2 linked regions of the Caenorhabditis elegans genome follow. The protein of the gene in region 1 interacts with the protein of each later gene in a pairwise test. Each region holds a gene or a part of one and is shown in the gene's direction. Other genes may lie near its edges.

Region 1 (4,072 bases):
TTGGAGTTTGATTTGCTGACATTTGCTTCTTCACACGCTCACATTCGTCCAAGAGACGTAGCCATGGACGAGGAGATGTTGCGGCATCAATTCCTGCAATAACTTCAATTATCAATTTACTTTCATTGGGCCTTACCGTATTTTGTCTTGAACTCTTTTCTGAAGTGCTCTCGAATAAGAGCATCGAACCAAATACCACCAGACTCCAAATCGTATGATGTGTTAACCATCTGAAGTTTTCCACGATTGAAAGCAACCAATGAAGCCTGTGTTGACGAATGACCGATATCAAGGAACACGACGTTGCGCGATTTGGCATCTTCCTCTGGGAGATCTTGCTTGTAGATTCCGTAGGCTAGAGCAATTGCAGTTGTTTCATTGACGATGCGAAGAGAGTTCAATCCGGCATATTGAATAGCTGAGAGAACAGCGCGTCGTTGAACATCAGTGAAGTAGGACGGGACCTAAAATTAAAACGATTGTCTAACAATTTCTCAAGTCTAAATTGTTCGATAAAATTATAGTTAAAATAAATTGATATTATTCAGAAATATTAAACAAACACTTACAGCAAGAACGCAATCTGAAACTTTCTTCACGTCAGAAAGTTGAGATTCCACAATAGTACGAAGCTTCGTGAGAAGGGCAGCAAGAACTTGTTCTGGGGTGAAAGTGTGAGGTTCGCCAAGATAACTGACTTGAACTCCGATGTCATCATTTGGAAGTTTAACCACTTTACACGGGATGAATGGAATGAATCTTTGCGCAACAGGATCACTGAATTTTCGTCCAATCAAATGCTTGAAGTTAATAACAGTGTTCTTGATGTTCGTGGTCACTGCTTGCCGAGCTGCAACCCCCATTGATCGATCTTTTGGTCCAAAAGATACGCAAGCTCTGGAGAAATAAATATTTAGATTTCATGTTATGAAATACTACACTTACGGAGTGGCATGCAGAGAATAGTCATTGGTGATAACTTCAATGCCTCCTTGACGTGCAACGCCAATGTAGCAGTTGAGGTTACCGATGTCGAATCCAAGAACCGACATTATTCTTTATAGCAGGAGCGCTGAAATTAAAGATAAAAGTTTAGACAGTTTAGACCAGCTAAAAACGGACAAAATGGGTTGAAGAAGCTTTGAAAGTATATTTATACAAAAACCAAATATTTTTCTAGAAATTTCGAGCAAATAAAAAAAAAGTGAGCAAGAAAACAAAGGTGAAACAGCGAAAAACGACCGAAAAGGGCGTGTCTCAGGCTGACTCCCTTATAATGGTGTTTAAAGGCACACCGAATATTCGAGAAACGTCTAGTACATCGTTGCGAGACCCATGTAAAATTCTCTACAGAGCAGACTTGCATTATTTTTTATTTTTCAAAATCATCATTTTTCAAACATCGTTTTTCATTTTATTAACGTTCTGTTGTGTTTGTTTTTATTTATTTATTTTATTTTACGTGAAAAAAAGCTCAAATTCTAGTGACACTCGTTTTATTTTCAAATTTTAAAGGGAAATGGCTCCGAAAACTGGAGAAACCGTCGTTGAAAAAATGGAGGTAGATGAAGCTAAGCAAGATGTCCCAGCCACCGAGCCAGCAAAAGATCTCAACGCAATTGCAGTTGAAAGTAAGTGAAATACAGAAATACTAAAGTTTTGATTGCCTTCTTTTCTAGATATCAAAGAACAATTAGCTGCTCTCGACAAAGGAGAAGAACATTTGATCACTCGCGTGTTGCAAGTATTGCCGAAAACTCGCAAGCAGATCAATGACAACGTTCTTTACAAACTCGTGTCTTCACATTTAAGCAGTGATGCTCAGTTCGCCGAAGGAATGTTGAAGTATTTGCATTACACACCCGCCGCTGATACTGAAGTTCAGCCAATGGATACTTCGAATGTCAAAACAAAGTCTCCAAAAAAAGGCGTCAAACCAGTGTTTGCATCTCCCGAATCAGATTGCTACTTGCGTCTTCTCGTTTTGCTTCATCTTTATGCTCAAAAAAAGAATACCGAAGCTCTTGCTCTCGGCGAGAATCAACTCACATCAAGTAAAAAACATATTTTAACCCAAACAAAACGTATAATTTTCAGTTTACAACTTTGATCGGCGTACACTGGATGGACTCGCAGCAAAAACCCTTTATTTCCTCTGTGTGATCTACGAACGAGAAGGACGTCTTTTCGATCACCAGGGATTCTTGAACTCTCGACTCCGTACTGCAACTCTCCGTAATTTCTCCGAGTCACAAGCCGTTCTGATTTGCTGGCTTCTTCGCTGCTACTTGATCAACCGTCAATATCAATCAGCTGCTCATCTTGTCTCCAAAGTTGCATTCCCAGACAATGCATCTAACAATGATCTTGCCCGCTACATGTACTATCAAGGACGTATAAAGGCTCTTCAACTCGATTACAATTCGGCGGCTGGATATTTCTTGCAAGCTCAGCGAAAAGCTCCACAAGAAGGTGCCATTGGCTTCAAACAAGCTGTTCAGAAGTGGGTTGTTGTCATTGGTCTTCTACAAGGAGAGATTCCTGATCGAAGTGTGTTCCGTCAACCAATTTATCGCAAATGTCTTGCTCACTACCTGGATCTCAGTCGAGGCGTTCGCGATGGAGATGTTGCTCGTTTTAATCATAATTTGGAGCAATTCAAAACACAGTTTGAAGCTGATGATACTCTCACATTGATTGTTCGTCTGCGTCAAAACGTCATCAAGACTGCAATCAAGCAAATTTCTTTGGCGTATTCCCGAATTTATATCAAGGATATTGCCAAGAAGTTGTATATTACTAACGAGACAGAGACTGAATACATTGTAAGTAATTTATATTGACAGTTTTATGTTTATTATAATTGTTGCAGGTGGCGAAGGCTATTGCCGATGGAGCAATCGATGCTGTTATCACTTCTGATGTTCGTGATGGACCTCGGTACATGCAAAGTTCAGAAACAGCTGATATTTATCGTACTTCGGAGCCACAAGCTCACTTCGATACTCGTATCCGTTACTGCCTCGAATTGCACAATCAAGCTGTCAAAGCTCTCAGATATCCACCAAAGAAGAAGATCGCTGTTGAAACTATTGAGCAAGCTCGTGAACGCGAGCAGCAAGAGTTGGAATTCGCCAAAGAGCTGGCTGACGAAGATGATGACGATTTTTAAACCGATCACTCACTTTTTTAATTTATTCTGAACAATGCATTGGAACGTGTCTGTCTCCGTAAATAATTTTGTGTGTATTTTATTTGAATTTTCTCGTCTCTTTTCAAATCGAGATCCCTGTCCACTTTTTTCCCACACCCGAATGAATTTTATAAGGATGAATTGCATATTTCACCAAGTCTTTTTAAAATATATTTTGTTTAAAATTGGTATTTTTCACCGATTTTATTTCTGAATTAAGTAGTGTTAAAAGAGAAAGATCGTCTAAAAAATAATCTTCAATTCTATCGTGATAGAAATCCATGAGTTTTCGAATAAATACTGTATTGCAACATCTAAATATACGATTCTATTAAATTTTACAAAAATAATGTAATTTGTCTAAACACTTGCTTTACGATGTCCGCAAACACTACCTGCACACGAACTGCGTCAGAAATTACGAGCACGATTTTCTTAATTCTTTTAGTTCAGAAACTTTCTTGAAATCATTTTAGTTATATTTATGTTTATTCAATATATTTTGTATTACCAAAAGTAAAAAAAGGAAACACTGAAAATCCCATTAATATTTAAACTCTATTTTTCTCTGAAACTAACTGGAATTCAATTTTGGAATTTATTAGTTTTAGTCAATTGCTCTCTGATATTTAATTTTTTTTTCATTTAAAAAACATAATTTATTTAACTACGAGATCGATTATAGCGCTGCTTTTCTTCCTCTTTGAAGTTTAAAATTATTTTCAGAATGAATGAGGCTCGAGCAAGGATCATAATAAACCTGCGGCTGTCGATGGACTCGCTGATGCGAGTTTTCAGTCACCGATCACCACCTCCTTCATTTGGATTTGCTTGCGATGTCGGTGCACATCCATCATCAACTGCACAAAACTTGCCAAT
Region 2 (3,836 bases), on another chromosome or scaffold:
GAGCATTTTCCCGCCAACAAAAAAAACATTACGGTCACCTCCTCCCGCGGCACTGATGGACTCTTCGGTTGTAAAGTAGGCAGCAGACGGACTGTACGTCGGCTCTTCTAAACAATTTCTGCACAGCTGGATATATAAACAATTACGAAAAAGAAACTAGAAGAAGATAGAAGATTCAAAAATAATCTGAAGAAAACTAACAAAAGGGATCCGTGGCAAAGTAATGTGTGGAACTGGACACAAGCTTCCACGTTTGTCCATGCTGTTGGCAGAGGTCACGTAGAAATTCGAAATTGCCCTAGTTCTGGAATTTTAACGTTTTAATTTTTTAAAATTGGAATTTCCAACAAAAATATGGCTTGGAAACACCGGTCCACCAGGGGTGTGCGGCAAATTGGCAAAATCTGGCAAATTTGGCAAATTTGCCGCACACCTCTGCTGCACACTATAATTAACTATAATTTTTACTGAAATTTTGGCCTAGACTGACTCTTCATTTTTCCATCCAATTTCAGATTAGGAATTTTCAAAACTTTGAAAAACTTGGCTCATCAACTTCCTTGTCATTTTTTGCTTATACATATCTTCCTTACTCTATCGATCAAGTTAGTTGTTTTTCCTAGACATACGTAATGTCCATATACCACTCTTTTTATTGCGCAACACGTAACAGAAGGCTAGCGGGAGGCGGTACCTCTTCCAATTTTATGGTCAGTGCAGATCGTTTTTCGCTCTGCTCTTTTGGGTCATATTTAGTATTCAAATATGACGTAAATTTCTGTTTGGCAATCCATTTTTTTCTAATTTTTTGTGTTTGCATACATTTCAATACCGTTTTACTACGCTTCTTGTCAGAAATTTTTATGGAAGTTTTGTTTGCTTTTAGATATTCCTGGTTGCAGTTTTTTCAAAAAAAAATTTCAATTTGCTCAAGAATTTGAAAAAGAGAATTTCTGACGAAAAAATCAGAAAAATTGAAATTTGTTAAGTAAGTGTTTTGTCGTTATACTACTATAAACAATTAAAAAATTATTACCTGAAAATGTAAGACATTTGTGTAAATCTGGTGATTTTTTTGTCAACTTTAACAGCTCATATTGCTAAATTGTTAACTAAAAACTGAAACAAAGTACTCAATTTTAGTCTAATTATACTTTCAGTACACCCATTTCTTAGAACCCCCAAATTTCCAAATTCAAAGTTTTTGGTACATTTATTATACCAAAAGGATTTATTCATCTCAAAACTTCAAAGAAAACCGAAAAACAACAAAAAAATTAAGCTACTGTCGGCAAAGAGACCCCACTTGACATTTTTTTTCTGAATTTTCCGTTTTGTATATAAAGTCCTGCCTTTTTGTAGGTGCCGACGGTAGGCGGTCTTCTCTTGAAGCGAAAAAGTGTTTTTTTTTGGTTTTAGTTTTTGGCAAAAAATTTGCAATCTTCAAAAATCATCCCAGAATTTGAACCGTAATAAATGCACCGTCACAGTGCAAAAGTCAAGTTGTAAACCCATGTTCTCATTTTTTACAATTATGACCACTGTACATCTGACTGCGCGTTTCTTCTGACTCTCTCATTTTCAAAAAAAGTATTTTTGCCGCCAAATTTTACTCAACACATCCATTTTTAACCTTCAACATTTTTCCATTTTTTCTCATCAATTTTCATTTTTCAACATGTCAATTCCCCATCTGTCTCTTCGTAAATCAGTCATGTGCAGACACCGAATCTGACGCCATGTTGCGGACTTTCGGCGTCACATGGTAAATCGTCTTTGGCGGTTTTTTCGAAATTGATTAATTGCAAAGATAAGGAATTTTAATTGAGATTTATAAAGCTTAGGCTTCTGAATTGCTACTCCCTCAATTTTTGTTTGATTTTACTTTTTTCTTCTTGGATTTCTTCTCTCCGTACATACCTTTTCACATAAATTTCCAAATTTTCAGATCTCTACCATGAACCCACTCGAAAGAAAAGTCAAGCAGGAGGCCGAGGAAGATGGCTACTCATCGTTCGACGAGTTCCCCGCCGGAGCCATCCGCATCCCGTACGAAGAGCTGATGGCAAAAGTTCGAGCCAAGAAAGCAGAAGCAGAAGCTGCTCAAGATCTTGTGAATGAGAATTCTTTTGACCAGTTTGTGGCTGCTCCACCAGCTCCACCAGTCCAGAAGCCTGCTGTTGAGCCAAGCCCATCATGCTCCCCAGAAACTGTTGCCGTTCAGAAATTTGTAACAGAATTCATGCAGGCTGCTGGAGGATCGAGGGAGCTGAGAATCATAAAAGATTCCCAGGAGACAAAGATTGTCTGGGTAAGTTCATATTTTTAAATTAAATGCTATTGAAACTGGTTTTTTTTTTCAGAAAACTTCTCCTGCAAAGCCTAAGGCTCCCCCGGTTGAGGATGATCCGACTGACCCGACTGACAGCCAGGTATCAACTGTTTCGGTTAGTATTTTTTCAAACCTTTTAAGAGCTTAAATGAGATGTACTCTTTTTCAAATTAAAATTCTGAAATTTCCAGAGCATCATCCCAGTCTCCTCGCCACGCGGAAAACGGAGAATTGTGGTCTCCTCGGATAAGGATAGCGACGGAGACGAGACCCCAACCGAGGACAATGTGAATAATGATGATCAGGACGTGACTCCGAAGAAGAATAGAAAGCCTCCAGTTGAAGTGGTTACTCCATCGCCAGCCAAAAGATTGAGAGGACTTAACTTGGTAAGTGAAATTTCAAAAAATTCGGAAGCAAAGTTTAAAAAAAATTTATTAACCATTCGCAAAAGTGCCAGAAAATGTATCGATAAAATATTTTTGACTGAAAATTTTCGGTAAAAATAATTACAAATTTTCCAAATGCCCCAAATTGTTTTCATAATTGCCAAAAAATCACTGAAGAATTTCCAGAAAAAATTTCAAATTGGTTTTTTTTAGTTAAAAGTTCAACTAATTTATTTGTGATGAGCTTTTCAAAAGGTCTTTTTCAAATTACACAAGTTCAAAAATAGTCCTTACAACATCTTCTTTAAGTAACATGTTTCAGAGATCGGCCCACAGCTCATCAGACTCGGAAAGCGACTTCCAAGACACCCAGTGTGAAGACTCTCAAGACTCGGACTACTTCCCGGATACCCAGGAGCAGCGAGACCGCCCCGCGGACTTCAGGATTCCAAAGAATGCGGCCTACGATCCTCTAGACTTAAGCTATAATTGAAAATCATCAGCCTCATACCCGAATCTATTCCACTGCATAATATGTAGTCATAATGAAACATTGAATTCTGTAAAATTCAATCTTGAAGTTACAAATCAAATGTCAACAGTCAAAGATTTTCAGCGGCTGTACAAAAATTTCAATAAAATTTACAAAAGTTGTTGCCCAGAAAACTAGAGTTTCTTCAGTTTAAATATCAGTGTATTGCGAAATATCCGAATATTTAATCGATTTTTTCATATTGCGAAATACCTCCTTTCAATAAATCAATAAAACTCTAAGGTATTGCAAAATACCTACCGACTCCGCCCATCCAAAGATAAGACTTTTCTCTCAGCAGAACACTTTTCTCACACGTTCCAGAACATCTCTCTTATCACCTTCCATTTTGTTACTATGTGCCTGTCCGCTGTGACTCATCAATATGAACTGATCAAAGTGGGAACTTTTGAAATTGAAATGGACGATGACGTCATAGAATTTCTGGAATTTTCCGAAGATGAAGAATGGAGCCCAGAAGTCTACGAGAAGGCGTTTGCAGACGTGGAGCGATGGATGGAGGAAGGAAGATAATTCTGATAGATTCTATAAACTTTTTCGAATAAATTTTTCATTTTTATTA

What was found.
Region 2: the proteins of rpn-3 (region 1) and F19B10.1 interact in a two-hybrid assay, tested with the Caenorhabditis elegans proteins (2 studies listed by BioGRID).

Annotation. Positions count from the first base shown.
Region 1 is NC_003281.10:8,445,838-8,449,909, forward strand, and holds rpn-3 (26S proteasome non-ATPase regulatory subunit 3), read left to right. Parts: upstream 1-1,515; 5' UTR 1,516-1,519; coding exon 1,520-1,631; intron 1,632-1,679; coding exon 1,680-2,054; intron 2,055-2,097; coding exon 2,098-2,825; intron 2,826-2,872; coding exon 2,873-3,172; 3' UTR 3,173-3,509; downstream 3,510-4,072. Other genes in the region: hsp-110 (Heat shock protein 110), read right to left, coding at 1-93, 137-464, 570-897, 946-1,052; mrpl-32 (Large ribosomal subunit protein bL32m), read left to right, coding at 3,921-4,072. UniProt on the Caenorhabditis elegans protein: Acts as a regulatory subunit of the 26 proteasome which is involved in the ATP-dependent degradation of ubiquitinated proteins.
Region 2 is NC_003280.10:3,681,233-3,685,068, forward strand, and holds F19B10.1 (FAM192A_Fyv6_N domain-containing protein), read left to right. Parts: upstream 1-1,951; 5' UTR 1,952-1,957; coding exon 1,958-2,311; intron 2,312-2,363; coding exon 2,364-2,447; intron 2,448-2,523; coding exon 2,524-2,721; intron 2,722-3,043; coding exon 3,044-3,214; 3' UTR 3,215-3,285; downstream 3,286-3,836.